3 linked regions of the Canis lupus familiaris genome follow. The protein of the gene in region 3 interacts with the protein of the main gene of each other region in a pairwise test. Links are inferred from orthologs where the notes say so. Each region holds a gene or a part of one and is shown on either strand. Other genes may lie near its edges.

Region 1 (6,589 bases), on a different chromosome or scaffold from region 3:
AGAAGGCCTGCTTCTCCCTCTCCTTCTGCCTATTTGTGCTAGTGCCCTTTGTCAAATAAAATCTTTTAAGTTAAAAAAAAAATTAAAAACGAAATTTCTGGGGTGCCTTGGTAGCTCAGATGGTAGAGTGTCTGGTTCAAGTCATCATCTCCAGGTACTGGGATGGAGCCCCATGTCAGGCTTCTGGCTCCCCAGCAGGGGGTCTGCTTCTGCTTCTCCCTCTGCCTTTCCCACTGCTTGTGCTCTCTCAAATTAATAAAAGAATCTTTTTTTTTAATGAATAAAAAATTCTTAAAAAATTAAAAATAAAAATGAAATTTCTGAGGGGCTCCGCTGTCTTCATTAGTTGGCTTTAAAATGTGTAATACAGGGGATCCCTGGGTGGCTCAGCGGTTTAGCACCTGCCTTCGGCCCAGGGCGTGATCCTGGAGACGCGGGATCGAGTCCCACGTCAGGTTCCCTACGTGGAGCCTGCTTCTCCCTCTGCCTGTCTATCTCTCTGTCTCTAATAAATAAATAAAATCTTAAAAAAAAAAAAATGTGTAATACAGGGAGGCCTGGGGGGGGGGGGGGGGTTGCTCAGCAGTTTGGCGCCACCTTCAGCCCAGGGCCTGATCTTGGAGACCCAGGATGGAGTCCCACGTCCGGCTCCCTGCATGGAGCCTGCTTCTCCCTCTGCCTGTATCTCTGCCTCTCTCCCTCTCTGTGTCTCTCATTAATAAATAAATAAAATATTTTTAAAAAATATGTAATACAATGGGAAATAACATATTATGGTAAATAAAGAGAATCAATGTAGAGAAGTAAACCGTACACTGAACATTACAGAGCACCTGAGTGGTCCCCAGAGTGAAATCTCTTCCAGTATTAAAAAAAAAAAAAAAAAAGGGGGATCCCTGGGTGGCGCAGCGGTTTGGCACCTGCCTTTGGCCCAGGGCGCGATCCTGGAGACCCGGGATCGAATCCCACATCGGGCTCCCGGTGCATGGAGCCTGCTTCTCCCTCTGCCTGTGTCTCTGCCTCTCTCTCTCTCACTGTGTGCCTATCATAAAAAAAAAAAAAAAAAAAAAAAAAAAAAAAAAGGCATTCGTATAAGCCATTACAGTAACTGTTCCAAGATTCCCCTCCCTTATAGTTTTCTCTCTGTCCCTCTCTTCCTCCCCAAAATTAATCAGTAATGGTACTGCTTCTCAGTACTGCAAAAATATCCTGAGAAATCATTCAAACAACAAAATTTAAATATAGTACGTAAGCCAAAACACTGGTGAGAGTGCGGGATTTAGAGGGGCCTTGGAAACACTACTTAGTAACCCCATCTAATTGGGAGTGTGATGTCAACACACAGTGAAATGACAACATTTCATCCTGTTTTTGCACAAACTGAATTAGATAATTTAGTTAAAAAGCACATAACTCTCACTCTGTTGAACACAAAAGATGTAATCCAGAGCTCTTAATTCTCTCACTGATTACTATAAGAAAACAAGATTGCTCTAAATATTTATTTATAACTTTTTAGTTAATTATGGCCAATAACATACCAGGAGGTAATTTACAGTTCAAATTTTTCATCTCTTTTGTCTCCACGGCGTTAAGCTGAATTCTCAACTTTACAATAAATACACAATTCCAATTTTCTTTTTCCTTTTCTTTTTTTTTTTTAAGATTTTATTTGAGAGAGGGAGCCACGGAGCATGAATAGGGGGAGGGGCCGAGAAAGAATCAGAGCCCCAACTGAGCAGGAAGCCTGAAGTGAGGCTGGATCCCCAGGATCCGGGTATCATGACCTGAAGTAAAAGCAGACACTTAATCGAATGACTCACCCAGGTACCCCACAATTCCAATTTTTCAAAAATACCTCTCTCCTGAAGAAGTGATATTATAGTTTTGGTGCAATACTGATGCAGAGCTCAACTGTCTTATCAAGAGAATCACCTATTAAAAGGAAACCAGGGCAGCCTGGGTGGCTCAGTGGTTTAGTGCCTGCCTTTGGCCCAGGGCGTGATTCTGGGGTCCTGGTATCGAGTCCCACATTGGGCTCCCTGCAGGGTGTCTGCTTCTCCCTCTGCCAGTGTCTCTACCTCTCTCTCTCTGTCTCCCATGAATGAATAAATTAATAAAATCTTAGAAACAAATTAAAAGGAAACAAACAAACAAAAAAATCAAGGTAGCTCAAAGGCCCCAGCTGTCCAATTTTGCATTTCAACACTCGATAAGGGGTAACCTAAAGGCAATGAATACTTTCTGTAACTCATTTTCACGTTTGGTATTGTCATTTCTAGAGTAGGGATCCCAGGGAAGAGAGTTTAAAGGACATAATCCATTTCCAATCTCTACGACATTGTTTGGGAAAGATCACAGATCTGCAGGCGGATGACCAGGATCAAGGCCATCTGTGGCCTTGGGGATCCCTGGGTGGCTCAGCAGTCTGGCACCTGCCTTTGGCCGAGGGCGTGATCCTGGAGTCCTGGGATCGAGTCCCACATCGGACTCCCTGCGTGGGGCCTGCTTTTCCCTCTCCCTGTGTCTCTGCCTCTCTCTCTCTCTTTCTCTGTGTCTCTCATGAATAAATAAATAAAATCTTAAAAAAAAAAAAGACCATCTGTGGCCTCTTCCCAGTTGTGGGATGCAGGTGAAGTCATTTCACCCAAGCCTCATCATTAATTCCATTTTTTTAAAAAAGATTTTATTTATTTATGCATGAGAGACACAGAGAGAGAGAGAGAGAGAGAGAGGCAGAGACACAAGCAGACACACAAGCAGGCTCCATGCAGGGAGCCTGACGTGGGACTCGATCCCGAGACCCCGGGTCACGCCCGGAGCTGAAGGCAGACACACTGAGCCCCGCCGGGTTCTGGCGGGGGCTGGCAGCGAACTGCAGAGCGCTACACGGTGTGTGTTTGTTGTGTTTGTTTTCCCAATCCCACACCGTCTCGTCGGGCTCAAGGCCATGAACACGAACTGCCAGGATCCACTTCACAGCACGACACAGGCAGGCCTTGTACAAGGCGGTCCTGGCAACCCCTGGCAATTAATACACCTACGGCAGCGGGCAGACGAAGTGACTGGTGAAGTCCCCGCCCGGACCAACCGTCCGTCCCTCCTTCCCGGCGGCGGCGGGTCACTCATGAAGTCACCACAGTGACTCAAAACGCCCTTCCTACTGAGGTGAGTCAGGAGGAAGCGCGGAGCCCGCAGCCGCCACCACGCGGGGCTCGGACCACCGGGCGCCCGGGACAGGCCGGGGTCCTCGCGGGGGTCGGAGGCCGCAGCCCCCGCCGGGCACGCCGAGTCGGCACGCGACGCCCCCGGGGTCACCCAGCCCAGCGCACTCGTGACGCCGCGAGGGGCCGGGCCCAACGGAGCCCAAGGCGGACGGGCCGCTCGGGCCTCACCCGCCCGCCCCGGCGGCCGGGAGCGAGCAGGGAGTCTCAGCGCGGCGCCCTCCCCGCTCATCCCGTTTCCGGCCGCCCCCCGTCCCGGCCCGCCGGCTCTCCCTCAGGCCGGCGCCCGGGTCGCAGCGTCCCGCCGCCGCCCGCCCGGCTCAGCTCCGGGCCGTCCGGACGCGCCGCGGAGCCCGGAGGAGCGCCTGGGAGGGCGCAGACCACTCACCGGCCTCGGGTCCGCTCGGCCGGCCGTCAGTCACCGCGTCCGCGCGTCCGTCAGCGACTCAGCGAAGCGCCGCGGCCGCCGCAGCCCTGCGGGCGGCGCGAGGGCGGCCCGACGTGCGCACGCAGAGGGGGCGGGTCCTGTGGAAGGACACGCCCCTGCGGCGGCCCCGCCGTGTCTCCCGCGGGGTCGCGGGGTCGCGGGGTCGCGGGGTGGCTAGGGGAGTCGGGGTGCCCCCGAGCCCGCGCGCTAATGAGAGAGAGTGTTAATGAGGGCGCCTCCGGGCTCCGCGCTCTCCGCGCCCCGTGTCCCCGCCTGTGCAGGCTGCACCTGCCCTCTCGGTTCCAGCCGCCTTGCCTGCCTGTCCCTTCCTTACCCGTCCGGCGGGCTGCAGAGCGAATGACCGGTACTGTCCCGTGCTGACAAAGGTGTGCGGAATGTGCGCTGTTCCTGGGATTTCCCGGAGACCTGGGGACACGTTAGCGAGATCTGTTCGAATTTAGAAGGGGCCTATCTCTTTGTTCAAACAATGTCCTTCCTCGGTAGCTCTCGGAGAGCAATGCGTGCAAGAACCCCAAGAGGCAAGAGCGAGGAAGGTCGTTGGCAACACGGGAGGGGATGCGCGCGTCATCTGGGTGAACATCTTGAAACCACCTAAACGTCCATTAAAGGGGGATATGGTGTGGGCGTTGATGGGGGTACCTCTCTGCAACGGGGTTGTGCCTGCGTTAAAAAAAGGAAGGGCAGACATGAGCTTAGGGAGGATGTTATTAAGCAGAAGGATAGGATGTAGGATGTAGAAAGCAGGATGTTGGAAAAATGCAAAAATACATTTGACAGTGTGTAAGTTTGACTTAAAAAATATTGAACTCTAGGGGTGCCTGGATGGCTCAGTCAGTTCAGCGTCTGCCTTCGGCCCAGGTCATGATCCCAGAGTCCTGGAATGGAGCCCCACATTGGGCTCCCTGCTCAGGGGGGAGTTTGCTTCTCCCTCTCCCTCTGCCCCTGCTCATGTGCACTCTCTCTCTCTCTCACTCTGAGTGAATAAATACTCACTCTGAGTAAATAAAATCTTTAAAAAAAAATTGAATTCTAATGTGTATGTGAAGTGTTTCAGGGTGAGGGGCAGGGCGGTCTGTAATTTACTTGAAACATATCAAGAGATAAGATAGTTGATGGATAATAAATGTCTGATAAATAAAGCAAAATGTTAAGAATTGGAGAAGCTAGGTGGTAAGTGTATGTGTAGGTGTTCCTGATATAGTTCTTTCAACTTTTCCGTATGTCTACAGATTTTTTAGGATAAAAATTTGGGGAAATATATTCAATATGATCTCTTTTCTTTTTTTAAAGACTTCATTTATTCATGAGAGACGGAGAGAGAGGCAGAGACACAGGCAGAGGCAGAAGCAGGCTCCATGCAGGAAGCCGGATGTGGGACTCAATCCCGGGACTCCGGGAACACGTCCAGAGCCAAAGGCAGATGCTCAACTGCTGAGCCACCCAGGTGTCCCCTTTTATTTTTTTTGAACTACAAAATGTTCTTTCCACACATTTATATTTAGGTATCTAAATGCATCCAATGTCAGGAAGGTTTATACACTAGAATGTCAAAGGGAGGTCGGGGGTCACTTGTGCTTTATCTGTACCAATTAAATTTTTTTTAGATGCATAAATGCATTAGGCATGACTTGGTTACCAAAACCAAATTTTATTTATTTTTAAAGATTTAATTTATTTATTCATGAGAGACAGAGAGGCAGAGACATAGGCAGAGGGAGAAGCAAGCTCCTTCTGGGGAGCCTGATGCGGGACTCGATCCCACGACCCTGGTATCCAGACCTGAGCCAAAGAAAGACTCTCAACCGCTGAGCCACCCAGATGCCCCCAAACCAAATTTTAAAAAGAATGGATCTTTAAAAAGTAATTATTGGAAGTACACACCATACTGCCCCTGCTCCCAAATACATACACATAAAATTGAATAAACCCAGTGGCGCTGATTGATGAGGGGGTTGCTTTGAGGTTTCAAATGAGATAATGTGGAGGGTGCCTGGCTTCATTTCCTGAGTTTGAGCCCCATGTTGGGCTTAGAGATTACTTTGAATAAATGAGATCATGTAGGTCTTAGCTTCTGCATGACACGCTGGAGGAGCTCAGAGAAGGGTTTCCCCTGTTATCATTATTAGCACATGTCACCCAGCTGGGTTAACTGGCAAGAGCTTTGCAGGAAGTCTTTGTCAGCTACAAAGTCCTGCAGGAAGTGCAGAGTCACAGCTGAGCATAGTAGTGAGTAGCCAAATCTTTCTCCTTAGGCCTCAGGGGGCTAGGATTTTGGGCTAGGTAGGGCTTCAACAGACATGATCTTTGCCCAGGCTGTCAATAATGCTGACCCACTTCCAGACAGACCCCCTGGCATTAGCACCCTTGACCAGAAGCCCACAGGCAGAGATGCCATTTTCTGCTACTCGTTGCCTGCACTGATTTCCAAGCAGTTGGTTCAGCAAGGCCAAAAGGCGGTTGGGTTCCCTTATGGCCCTGAGATGCTCTTCAATTAAACCTGGGCACTAGGGATCCCTGGGTGGCGCAGCGGTTTGGCGCCTGCCTTTGGCCCAGGGCGCGATCCTGGAGACCCGGGATCGAATCCCACGTCGGGCTCCTGGTGCATGGAGCCTGCTTCTCCCTCGGCCTATGTCTCTGCCTCTCTCTCTCTCACTGTGTGCCTATCATAAATAAACAAACAAACAAAAAAAAAACCTGGGCACCAGAGCTGCCTCCTTAGGCTTGTAATCCCAGTAACTGCACAGGGTCCCACTCTGAGAAGGCCTCCCACTTGTTTAATGCTCTGTTGTTATTTTCTTGAAATTCTTGACAATTTTTTAACAAGGAGCCCTGCATTTTCAGTTTGCACCAGGCCTTCCGAATTCTGCAGCTCGTCCTGCTACACGCCTTCTTGTTTATTTCCTTAAAGTGGAGACGT
Region 2 (6,589 bases), on a different chromosome or scaffold from region 3:
ATCAATTTGTAGTTTCCTTCCATTTCATTTTATTTTGTTAAATTTCTTCAAATGACTTTGCAGCAAAGACAGTATAAGGCTCTTCTCCTTTAGATTGCTGATTCCAATGAAACATGCTTATAGATTTTCCAGTTTGCTTCCCTTGTAAAAACATCCTGAATTACTCTTTTGATAAGGTACTGGATTCTCTTTTAAAGACATATTGACATATTCATAAGCTAACTTGAACTTGAGATTTTTTTTATACTACATCATATTACTCTAAGGCTGGCTTCACAAAATGATTTAGGGAGATTCTTTTTCTTTGCCTAAGAGTAAAAAATATTTAGTTATGCATTGTTGGTTTTTTTAAAAGATTTATTTCCTTCAGGAGAGGTAAGGAAGGGTAAAGGGAGAAGAGAAAATCTAAAGCAGACTCCCCACTGAGTGTGGAGCCCGTCTTGGGGCTCGATTTTAAGACCCTGAGACCATGACCTGAGTCAGAGGCTTAACCAACTGAGCCATCCAGGTGCTCCATCCATTGTTCTTTAAAGATTAAAATAGATTTAATGGATTTACCTGTATGTCAAGTCTTTGCTATTTTTTAAAGTGGATATTTAACCTCTAATTTATCTAAGATAATCAGTCTCTTCATGTTTTCTGTTTATTGGGTCAGTTTTATTAGAAAGCCATTCAAGGCTCCCAGGTTTTCAAATGTGTGGCTCTCAAATCTTAATTAGTATAGTACTTGAATTTATTTCTGTAACATTACTCTTTCCCATTTCTACCTTATATAACTTTTTTTTTTTTTAATGAAGGTCAAAAGAGGATAATCTAGGGCACCGGGCTCGCTCAGTTGGTAGAGTATGTGACTCCTAATCTCAGAGTTAGGAGTTTGAACCCCATTTTGGTGTAGAGCTTATTTAAAAAAACACGAAGTAAAAAATAATACACACACACACATTTGGGGCACCTGGCTGGCTCAGCTGATGGAGCACACAACTCGATCTCATAGTAGTCAGTTCAAGCCCCACATTGGGCATAAAGCTTACTAAAAACAAACAAAAAAGGATTATCTATCTTCTTGGTTTCTTCAAAGAACCAGCTTTAGGATTTATTTATGTAAGTTTGGAGATTTTCTACTGTATTAATTTCAATTGATATTTTTATTGCTTCTCTTAGTAGCATTTTTGTTGCTAATTAAGATATACAACATGTCTTTTTTTTTTTTTTATACATTTAATCCTATAGAATTGCCTCTGTACAACTTTCATCTGCTCCCATGTTTTCTGGTGGGAAGTGTTCAGATTTTAATTGCTTATTGTATGTCATTTTAATTTTTATTTCCTTTTTGATCCAATTGTTATTTCCACAGGTGGTTTTAGGGTGCCTGGGTGGCTCAGTTGGTTGGGCCTCTGCCTTTGGCTCAGGTCATGATCCCGGAGTCCAGGCTCAGGCTCCCTGCCAACTGGGAGTCTGCTCCTCCTCTGCCCCTCACCCTGCTGGTGCTCTCTCCGTGTCTCAAATAAAAAAAATCTTGAAAAAAAAAAAAAAAAAAAGGTGATTCTCACACCTGGCTATTATAAATTATTGGAATTTATTTATTGTTGGATCATGATCAGAGAATATGACTTATAAAACGTCCGGGTTTTTAAGTTAAGGTATTTTATGTGGCCAACTATGGAGTATTCTTATACATAATTCCATGGACCTACCAAGTAAAAAATATATATGCATTATATACATAATATATATTGTATTCTGTATAATGTATTCAATATTATACACAATATATATTCCATGTATAATATATAGTAACTACTATATATAGTATGCATATATATGCAACATACATAAAATTAAAATTTTGCATGTAAATGCAAAATTCTGAGCATTTAAAATGATCACCTAAACCACCCACTCCCCCTGACACACAGGCTCATGGTTCCCCTTACTTTGCTCACTTTTTTTTTTTTAAGATTTTTTTTATTTATTCATGAGAGACAGAGAGAGAGAGGCAGAGACAGGAGGAGGGAGAAGCAGGCTCCTTGCAGGGAGCCCGATGCGGGCTCGATCCCAGGACCCCAGGGTCACGCCCTGGGCGGAAGGCAGGTGCTCCACCGCTGAGCTCCCCGGGCTGCCCAGCTCACTTATTTCTCTGTCTCACAGCATGTATCCCTTATGATCTGGTAACAAACTACGTAATTCACCTATACCGTGCTTCTGGTTCCTCCTGCCCCTTCCACCGGAACGTAAACCGGAGGAGAGCTGCTAAGTCAGGTCTGTCCTTCCCTGACGTACCCCGAAAGCTGCAACGGTGCCTGGCGCCACAAAATGCATCAAATAAATAAATCATCACCACCCCATCACCACGCAAAAAGCTAAACGGCGGGCAGGCAGCCCGGGGGGCTCAGCGGTGGAGCACCTGCCTTGGCCCCAGGTCGTGACCCCGGTCTCGAGATCGAGTCCCGTGTCGGGCTCCCTGCATGGAGCCTGCTTCTCCCTCTACCTGTGTCTCTGCCTCTCACTCTCTGTGTGTGTCTAATGAATAAATAAACAAAATATTAAAAAAAAAAAAAAAAAAAAAGCTGAACGGCCCGAGCCCCGGTGTGGGTTCCGTCACCCGCACGCGTCCCAGCGCCCCCGCCCCGGGTGGGGACCAGGCGGCGCCGAGCCCCTGCAGGTGCACCAGGGCCGGCCTCCGCAGCCAGGCGGGCCAGCGGCGGGCCCCGAGACCCCGGGAGAAGCGCACTCCAGGGGCGCCCCGCATGGATGGAGCTCGGACTGGCCGCAGGAGCTACCTTTCGGGCCCTACAGTCCTGTGCCGCTGACGGCTAAGGCCCGTGGACGTCAAACCCCTAAGATGCGCTGCGGGGAGCTTCCCAGACACCGAGACCTCGGCCCGTCGTCGCGCATCCACTGAACCACCTCCAACGGCTCCACCCCGGCCGGAAGGCAAAGCGTGTCCCCGCACGTCCCGGCTGCCCTCCGAGGAGGTCCGGGTCCCGCAGCAGCGACTCCCGCCCCGCGGCCCGACCCGACGTCACGCACGCATGCGCGGCAGCCCCCCGCCCCGACGCGCAGCCTTCGCCCCGCCCCTCGGACCGGAAGACGTTGCGGGCGCTTCCGGCGCCCGGCCGCCCTGCGGTTGCCTCGGTGATGTCGTGGGTTCAGAGGGCCCCGCTGGTCCGGGGTCCCGGAGAGGAAGGGGACGTGTTTGACGAGGAGGCGGACGAGTCTCTCCTGGTGCAGCGGGAATGGCGGAGCCACATGCAGAGACGAGTCAAAGTAAGGCTGCGTGGCGGGCGCGGGGGACACACGGCGGCTTGTGGAGAGAGCGGAGCGCGGGCGCGAGGGTGGAGGCCGCGGGGCCCGCGAGGGCTTTCCAGGGGGTTACCGAGGGGTTACCCGAAAGCGCGCGAGACCTCGGGGCGCGCTGGACGCTGGGAGCAGACGCGAGCTAGGTGTAGACCTGGCGGGGGTCGCCGTGCCGGGAGGTTCGCGGAGGGCGTGGACGGGCTGCTCGAACGGGTCACGAGCCCAACGTCGGAAGTGGTTACTTTTTTTTTTTTTTTTTTTTTTTTTTTTTTTTATAGAGACACAGAGAGAGAGAAGCAGAGATACAAGCAGAGGGAGAAGCAGGCTCCACGCAGGGAGCCCGATGCGGGACTCGATCCCGGGACCCCGGGGTCACGCCCTGGACTGAAGGTGGCGCTAAACCGCTGAGCCCCCCGGGCTGCCCGGGAGTGGTTATTACTGGAGACACACGGGAAAGGTGAACCTACGAATGTCCAGAAGCAGGGATGCCCGGGGGGCTTAGCGGTGGAGCATCCGCCCTCAGCCCAGGGCGTGACCCCGGGGTCCCCGGATCGAGTCCCCCTGCATGGAGCCTGCTTCTCCCTCTGCCTGTGTCTCTGCCCCTCTCTCTCTATCATGAATAAATAAATAAAATCTTTAAAAAAAAATTAAGATCTTAAATAGTAATAATGATAAAAAGAAATGTCAAATAGGAATAAAGGAAAGCTGCTGTGGAGTACCGTGGGGCTAGGTGAAGGAATACCAAAGTTGGCTGCTTTTTTATTTGCTGGGTGTGCATTATCTTTCTCTGCTTTGTTCATTGAAACTAAGCTTAATGCCACGCCCTCAGTCTCCAGGTGGAGCAGTGGGAGCTGAGTTCACACGGCCAGGTCCACTTCCACCCAAGGTCTTTCCCAAGCAAAATACTGCCCGATTGGCCCTTGTTTGTTTCAGTGAAATGTTTGCTTAGCCCAACCACCACGTTACCAGTTTCAGAAACGCTTGATGTAAGGTGGGGGCCAGACCAGTGAGTCGCAACCGGCCTTGGAGTGCAGTGGCACCAGAGGAGATGGAGACGCAGGACAGTATCTCCGCCCACAGGGAATTTGCCGTTTATTTAAATTTAGATACCAGGCAAGATTTCTAAAACCGTACTTTGCATCTTTTTTTACTCACCCAGTTTCCTCTTTCCCTCCTTGAGCTGATTATTGAAGACCTCTGATAACCTCTTTTCTGCCCTACCTTCTCACCCAACGCTCATCAGTCAGTGTTGCCAAGGGGCCAGACATTAACTCTCTGTTTTCCTTCCTGTGAAGCCATTGTTAACACAGGGTTTTTAAAATCTGTATAAGAATCTATATTTTGGGGCAGCCTGGGTGGCCCAGTGGTTTAGCATCTGCCTTTGACCCAGGGCCTGATACTTGAGTCCCGGGATCAAGTCCCACATCGGGCTCCCTGCATGGAGCCTGCTTCTCCCTCTGCCTGTGTCTGTGCCTCTCTCTCTGTCTCTCTCCTCTGTCTCTCGTGAATAAATAGAATATATTTTTTTTAAAATCTGTATTTTTAAATGTGCCAAATAAGTCGACTCCTAAAGCGGGATATGCGAATAATAAACCTTGCTGGGAAGCATAATCTGCTCGGGTTGTGTGGCTGTGCCATAGGTTGTAGAACCATTATGTTAAATAGTAAACAGCAGTAAAGGCCTATTTCATCAACATTCTAAATCGGTTTTATGACTTTCCAGAAAAACCTACAGTGGTTTACTTGGTGTTAATTACAGCTGCAGTTTTCTTCATTACTTATTTTTAGGAAGGCTATAGAGATGGAATAGATGCTGGCAAAGCTGTTACTCTTCAACAAGGCTTCAATCAAGGTTATAAGGAAGGTGCAGAAATCATTATAAACTACGGACAACTCAGAGGAACACTGAGGTAATTTTTTAAACTTATATGCTGAGTCATTTTAACCTCAGTACTCCTGGAGGCCTTTTATAAAAGTAGTATGTAAAAATAAAGTATTTAAACTGAAGTGCTTTTCCTAGTGTTAAATCCACAAAAGAGTACTGTGACCATAAAATAATACTGCCTTCAGAAAGTCATCTACTTGAACCGTCAGTTCATCTACTTTAATATATGTCAGGTGTTGTCTCTTACTGCAAAGAAATGATAGGAACGTGTATATTTTGTGCTGCCTGAACTACCACCGATTTGTATCTCAAAAGTAATTCAAAAGATCTTCAGGTTTTAAATAAAGCTTTTAATCTTGGACATGTGGTAGAGCATAATAAAACAGACTTCTAGATTAGAAGTGCATGAGGAAAATTATATCTGGTCATAGAAAAATGATTCCATTTACTTTAGTGCTGAACACTGAATACCTGTCAAGATTCCATACTAATAATGGCACATATCAGAGCCAAGAGGTCAAATGGCAGAAGGAGCTAGGATAATGACATGCTTGTCATCTTGGAGACTTTGTACCTTTTAAATTAGGAAAAAAAATAAAAACATAAAATGGTTCGAAGAATCACTAATTTTTAAATTAGTTTTTAAAAAATTTTTAAAGTTATCAAAACAAAAAAGTTCATTGAGGTTTTAGAAAATTCAACTGTCAGAAATCAGAATTTATAGTCTACAGTAGGAAAATGATCAAGTATTCATTTTACATAAATCTTTTATAAGTACAGAAAGTTTATTGCTAAATCTTTTATGTCAACTGATTACATTTTTAAAACATGATTACTTTTCAGGGCACCTGGGTGGCTCGCTCAGTTAAGCATCCAGCTCTTGATTTCTGCTCAGGTCATGATCTCAGGGTCAGCACTGGGCACACAGCCTGCTTAAGGTTCTCTCTCTCCCTTGTTCTCTGCCCTTCCCTCCACCTCTCTCTCCCTGTCTTTAAAAAAAAACAAACAAACGCTATTACTTTTCACAACAATCATTTTATGTCGTGATTATCTGAACAATCTGAAATGGCAGAAAACAGAAGTCTTTTCTGTACTAGAAAAAAAATATTAGGATTAGAAGCATTCTTACCTTCTTCAAGAAATGTATTAGTTAGCTCAACAAACAGTGATTATAACAAAGTCAGGGAAAGAAAAGTTGCCTCAAAACTTTTTTTTCTACCCTTTAGTTTTGATGGCAAGTAACCATATGGTTTGAATAATTGTTTTCAACCTTGGCTGCACCCTGCTATCAGCTGGGAAGCTTTAAAAACTAATATCCCCAGAGATTCTGATTTCATTGGTCTGGGATATAATATAGGCCTTGATATGATATAGCCGCCCAGGTAATTCTAATGTACATCCACGTCT
Region 3 (6,589 bases):
ACTTGAATGTCTGGCTTCAGCTCATGTTGTGATCTCAGGGTCCTGATATCAAGTCCGGAAATGGGGCTCCTTGCTCAGTGAGGAGTCTGCTTTCCCCTCTCCCTCTACTACTCCCCTCATTTGTGCTTTCTGTCTCTTACTCTCTCAAATTAAAAAAAAAAAAAAAATCTTCTGAATAGCCCCAGGGAAACAGAACTGTGATGATAGCAATGGGAATAGAATCAAGGTCAATGTCGTGGCTAGGCCAGTTTAAAACTTGCCAAGATAGCCAATGGTCTATGGATACACCTTTGGCCTTTCCCTGCTAAAAGTTATATATTCTATTGTCTTGGCTTTGTCCTGAAGGAAGCTCACGTGTTTTGTGTGTTAAATCAAAACTGGAGGGATCCCTGGGTGGCGCAGCGGTATGGCGCCTGCCTTTGGCCCAGGGTGCGATCCTGGAGACCCGGGATCGAATCCCACGTTGGGCTCCCGGTGCTCTGCCTGTGTCTCTGCCCCTCTCTCTCTCTCTGTGACTATCATAAATAAATAAATAAAAGCTGGATTTGTTGTGGCATTTTAAAATCTCAGTCACCAGATTACATTTCAATTTGAGTAACTGCATACAACTTTGCAAAAACCGTTTTAAGTAGTTTCAACTGGAAAAGTTTATTTGAAGTTTAAAAATGAACATACCTGATTCACAAAGGCAGAGCCATTTCAATGGTGGGTGGATGATTTTTATTTGGTTTGTACATTTTGCTTCCAATCTGAGAGTTCTTCCATTAAAAAACAAATAACAAACAAACCCTGGCTAACACAGTCGGAATTTATATGTTCTTTTATACTGAGTTCCAACAAACAGTTTCAGCCTCTTTTCTTGTTTTTTTTTTCTTTTTCTTAAATAATAAATTTATTTTTTATTGGTGTTCAATTTGCCAACATACAGAATAACACCCAGTGCTCATCCCGTCAAGTGCCCCCCTCAGTGCCCATCACCCAGTCACTCCCACCCCCTACCCACCTCCCCTTCCACCACCCCTAGTTCGTTTCCCAGAGTTAGGAGTCTTTATGTTCTGTCTCCCTTTCTGATATTTCCCACCCATTTCTTCTCCCTTCCCCTCTATTCCTTTCACTATTATTTATATTCCCCAAATGAATGAGACCATAAAATGTTTGTCCTTCTCCGATTGACTTATTTCACTCAGCATAATACCCTCTAGTTCCATCCACGTCGAAGCAAATGGTGGGTATTTGTCGTTTCTAATGGCTGAGGAAAATTCCATTGTATACATAGACCACATCTTCTTTATCCATTCATCTTTTGATGGACACCGAGGCTCCTTCCACAGTTTGGCTATTGTGGACATTGCTGCTAGAAACATCGGCGTGCAGGTGTCCCGGCGTTTCATTGCATTTCAGCCTCTTTTCTATATTTTCAGTTTGCAAAACCAAAATCTCTGCGGCCCAGAGATCCACTCCGCCCAGCACACCTTCCGGGAGGTCTCCACCTTAGATGTGGACTTCGTCCAGAAGGGACGCGAAAGGGACGCGAAAGGGACGCGAGACGGTATGCGTGCAGACCCGGCAGCCACAGGGCAGGGAGGACCCTGCAGAGCATCCCGCGCGGGGAAGATGCAGGGGACCCAGACCCGCCCCAGGAAGCTAGATGGACTTCCAGCTCCAGACCCACGAGCTCCAGTGCTCCATCGACCATCCAGACGACCCCCGCGGCCGTGCCCCCACTCCATCCCACCCATCCCCCCACCGCTCCGCACCCCCACCACTACAGCCTCAGCGTAAAGAAGACTCAGCCCCGCGCTGACAGAGGGACAAGCCCGCGCCTGCGCAGACTCGGTCGCGGGAGCCCGGGTCCCGCCCACGCTAGCCATTGGCTGTCCGGCGCGTAGCCCCGCCCCACCCGGCGCCCTGGTTTCTGTCGCCAAGGACGCGGCGTCCGTTGGTTGCCAAGATGGCGGCGGTGTCTGCGGGACCGCGGCTGCCCTCTCCGCCACTGCAGGGCAAGGTCGACGCCGCAGCCGTCACAGCCAGCGTCGCTGCCGCTCGGGAACCGGGGCTGCCGCGGCCAAGCCTTCCGCGCCCGTGACACGAAGCCCGAGAGACGGAGTGGACGGAGGCCCGAGGACGAGGCCGAGGCTGCCATGACGGAGGCGCCAGCGGCGGGCCGAGAGGCGGCGCGGAGCTGAAAGATGCTGGCTTGGAGGCCGGGCGCCCGGAGCTCGGCCGTGGAACGGGGACGGGGCCCCGAGACGTCGGACGCCGGCGACGGAGCGCTCCTCATCCCCCGCTTGGGCCGCGGGCGCCGCCGGCCTGCCGCCGACCTGTATCCTTCCGGGGATGCGGGCCGGGTAGGCGGTGTGGGCGCCGGCGGACGGCGGGCTGGCCGGGCGGTGGGCTCCCCCGCCTGTGCCCACACCACCCCCGCGCGCCGGGTGGGTGTCCGTGAGCGCCCGACTCTCCCCCGGGGCACCCCTCCCCGCCTTTCGCCCCCACCCCCCGACACCGTTCGGGTCCTTGTGCGCCCGTTTCCCCCGTCGGTGCCCCCCCCGGCCTCCCCCGGGGTCCTCCCCCGGGCTCCCCACCCTTTTCCCTGCTTCCCCCGCCCCGGGCCTCGCTGTTCCAGATGCTCTGGAACGTGGAACTACCGACCTCGTGCGGTGCGGGGGCTGCTCTGTTGCTCAGACAGCGTGGCCATGTTCTGTGCACTGCCTGGTTAATGGTGCTGCGCAGAGGGAAGAGCCCCACAAGTGACACCTCTTTGCGACCTTCGAGAATCGGGTTAGCAGGTTAAGCTAGCACACCCCCGGTTCATTCTCTGGTCTGCGGGTCACCCGGGGTGTGTCCGGTGGTCAGGGGGACAGCCTTCCTCAGAATTCAGGGCGGAGTTCTGTTTTCGGAATGGAAGGCGCTCGTACCCTTTCTGAGGACGATGGGGCGGTGACGGGTGGCGTCGGTGCTGGCGGACGACGGGACTGGTGGTGACGGGCTTGGACTCCGAGCTCACGGACCCTCAGAGTGCTGCCGCACATCCCCACCAGCGCGCTTGGACACCTGTCCTGAGATGCTGCGGTGGATCAGCAAGTAGGCAAAGGCTGTGACGTGCGCGCGCGCCCTGCTCGGGGTTCTGGGGTGCAGACCTGGCGACAGGGAGGAAGGCAGCTGTGCTCCGAGCCTCCTGCAGCTAGCCTGGTCTAGCTTTGCCCGTGCTGGTCCCCAAAACTCATGCTCTCAGAGATGTGTTCTGAAATAAACAGCACCGGTGTGTACGGATTTGATTTTGTTCCCTTGACGTTGTATTTTCATGCACACTGAAGTCCTATAGGACTATAGCACTGACCCTGATTTCGTCTGAATCAGAAAGTAATGAAGCAAGGTCAATGGCTCATGGACAGAGTGTATCTTTCTATCCTTTTCATTCATGAAATAGTCCTAGACTTAATTTTGTAAATTGATGTAGTTGGAACACTGAGTAAACATCAGAGAAAATATTTGTAAATAGAATTAATAGTACCTCAAAGGAACAAAACCAAACATACTTTTTTCTTTTGTAAAGATTTTATTTATTCATGAAAGACACAGAGAGGCAGAGACATAGGCAGAGGGAGAAGTAGGCTCACTGCGGGGAGCCCCATATGGGACTGGATCCCGGGATCACAACCTGAGCCAAAGGCAGATGCTCAACTGCTGAGCCACCCAGGCATCCCTAAATTTTTCTTTTTTAAAAAAAGGTGAAATGTCTCTCATGTTCCCTTCACACTGTGCCTCCTTTTTTCTCATATATATCTCTTTTCCCCTTTGATTTTATTTTAGCACTTATCTTGCCCTCTCTTCCCTGCCTGGTTTATATCCTATTCTCAATTACCTGCTCATGTTCTCTCACCAGCATCCTTGGTCCTTTGCACCCCTATTCCTCTGCTTCATCCAATAGCTACTAGAGTTCTACTTCTCTTGTCCTTCACTTAAGTAAGAAAAATGCTGTCAGAGAAAAATCACAAGACAATACAGACTGGCACCACACAGATTGAACAGTTTCCAGCTTCGCCTGAACAAGAACAGGGATGTCTGTTCCTCTTCATGTCTGTGTGAGGTCTTTACCAATTCCACCTGCTCTCAGTAGACTGTCTTACTACTTCATGAGACAGTAGACACCACGAAGGCTCTCAGCCCCTCTTCACAAGCAACACCCCCTGCCCCCAACACCATCCTTTTTTCCAGGTTCATTGATGGGATATCACTTTTATGGTAGAACATCCATCTATTCACCTGTGCCTTACTAACATAGCTTGTTTTCTCCTGTGTGCCTCTGGATTATAAATTACCCCATCTTAAAATCTACTTTCAACTTGTAATGGCATTCTTTTCCTCCAGCCTATAAACATACTCCGGTCTTGGCTCTCCTTAAAATAAACTAGACTAACAGTCAAACCCTATCAAAGGATGATTGTTAGTCAATGATCAACATGAGAACCCTCAACTTGATTCTAGTATCTCCTGTGTCCATATTCAGACCTCTAAAAAGAGTCTAAATTTACCATCTCTACCTTGAGTCACACTTGGTACTACATTCCAAAATTAAGCTAATAAAATATAAATGTGAAATTGTAAAAGAATAACAACATAAAATAGAATTTCATATTTTTCATGTATTTGAAGGTATAGCAAATTTACCTTTTGGAAGGAAAGACATTTTAAAGGAAAAGTATTTCAAAGATGACTCATTAAAACTTTAAGGAGAAATTGTTTATATCTTTTGTCCTGTATATGTACTGAGAATTTTCTCCAAGGAAATTGTTCAGCTAGATTTTATTAAGCAGCATGCCAGTCATTGGCGTTACAGAAAGGTGGAGAAGACATGTACTCATAGGATGTACTCATGAAGGTGTCAGGTCATCCAATGAGGGTTTTCTCTAGAAAACAGGGGAACTGCTTGAAGTGGGCCTGAACCACAGGGGAAGTTACCAAGCATGTGCTTAGAGATGATGCTCTGATATGTCATGGCTTGTTCTGTTATCAGTATGTAAGTATCTTCGTGCATCTGGGCATAGGATTTGTGCAGGGCAGGGTTGAGAATTGAAGTTGAAAAAACAGACCAATTTATAGTGCTTTATATACTAGGTCAGGAGATTTAGAATTTACCATGGATGTGACAGGGAACTTTAAGAGAAAAAGGAAAGAGAAATGCAATCAGATTTGCATTTAGCAGATTTGTAGAGGTTCATAGTGTTGAAAAAATATGCAGTCTCCTTATCTGAGCTCATGATGCTGAAAGTACAATTTTTATCCCAGGGAAAGTGAGATATGTGTTCAGTTCTAATACCAAGTCAGAATTTTTTTTGAAGATTTTATTTATTCATGAGACAACAGAACAAGAGAGGCAGAGACACAGGCAGAGGGAGAAGCAGGCTCCATGCACGGAGCCCGATGTGGACTCGATCCCTGGACTCCGGGATCACACACTGAGCCAAAGGCAGATGCTCAATCGCTGAGTCACCAGGCATCCCAAGTCAGAATACTACTACTAACTAACACTAATGTGTACACGTATTGTTTCCTAAAAATGACTGTATTCTTAGTATGAGGCTGTAATTATATTTATCAGCACTGACACTCATCCCCTGGAGCTATAAACCATGTCCTTAACTTTGTGCTATCATTAGAGATACGAAAATACATCTGGAGAAAAATTTAGAAGAAGAGCGTCAAATTTTACTGCAGCAACAAAAAATATGTCGAAATCGAGCACGTAAATATTTTGTGGAATCAAACCGGAGAAAAAAGTAAGTAATCGTATTTTCTTCAGAAGTGTAGAAATTCAAAGTCATTATAAATTAATTATAGTTTCTCTACTTTCGCATTTTATGAACCTAAGTCATGGCATTTGCTTTATCTGTAAAACACTGGTCAACATTTGTATGCCTTCATAAATTTTCTTATTGTTTTTCTGCCTAAAGCACAAAGGTGGTCGTGTACTCATTCCTGAGCGGGACCTTAGCAGTCCTTTCTTATCATAGGACTTCTTATCGTAGTGTCATAGGATGGCTGCAAAATGTGCTCCATTCTTTGTTGTCTATATCCTTTCACACTAAATCAAAAGATTACAAATTAGTACTTAGTCTCTAATGGAATGTAATTTCATTTTAATTTACTGTTCACTTCTATATAATTTTTCTATATATCATTTATCCAATCAAAAATGGGGGGAAATTTAAATAATGGTAGAAATATGATGCAAAGAATATTATAAATGACTTCCATTAAAAAAAAAACAGCTATCTAAACTGGAAGCCTAATAAAGTAAAAATATAAACCATCCAGTTACTGCATACCATTTTTCAAGGTTTCTTTGAATGATTAGATTTTGTTTTTTAGACGGATTGTTAATGTGTTGGCTACCTTGTCTGTATTTTGTCAATAGCAGCAAATCCCTAGAGTGTATGAACTACATCATTGGACGCGTGTTGCAAATCCCATTTGGAAAATACAAAATTGTTTACCTGTAACTTTTTTCTGACATCATATTTCTCCTTAGATTAACTCTTTCATTGTCTGGTGTAATGAAGTTACTTAATGAAGCTTGTTTCTTGTTTTG

Evidence for each region.
Region 1: the proteins of CEP126 (region 3) and HMOX2 interact in a two-hybrid assay, tested with the Homo sapiens proteins (2 studies listed by BioGRID and IntAct). The link is inferred for Canis lupus familiaris from reciprocal best matches to the Homo sapiens genes CEP126 and HMOX2.
Region 2: the proteins of CEP126 (region 3) and YAE1 interact in a two-hybrid assay, tested with the Homo sapiens proteins (2 studies listed by BioGRID and IntAct). The link is inferred for Canis lupus familiaris from reciprocal best matches to the Homo sapiens genes CEP126 and YAE1.

The regions. Positions count from the first base shown.
Region 1 is NC_049227.1:37,201,901-37,208,489, forward strand, and holds the start of HMOX2 (heme oxygenase 2), read right to left. Parts: upstream 3,733-6,589; 5' UTR 3,613-3,732; intron 1-3,612.
Region 2 is NC_049239.1:10,247,881-10,254,469, reverse strand, and holds the start of YAE1 (protein YAE1 homolog), read left to right. Parts: upstream 1-3,081; 5' UTR 3,082-3,138; coding exon 3,139-3,267; exon of another isoform or gene 3,268-3,435; intron 3,436-5,085; coding exon 5,086-5,207; intron 5,208-6,589. UniProt on the Homo sapiens protein: The complex LTO1:YAE1 functions as a target specific adapter that probably recruits apo-ABCE1 to the cytosolic iron-sulfur protein assembly (CIA) complex machinery. May be required for biogenesis of the large ribosomal subunit and initiation of translation.
Region 3 is NC_049226.1:29,797,610-29,804,198, reverse strand, and holds the start of CEP126 (centrosomal protein of 126 kDa), read left to right. Parts: upstream 1-2,583; 5' UTR 2,584-2,623; coding exon 2,624-2,778; exon of another isoform or gene 2,779-3,152; intron 3,153-5,657; coding exon 5,658-5,777; exon of another isoform or gene 5,778-5,781; intron 5,782-6,589. UniProt on the Homo sapiens protein: Participates in cytokinesis. Necessary for microtubules and mitotic spindle organization. Involved in primary cilium formation.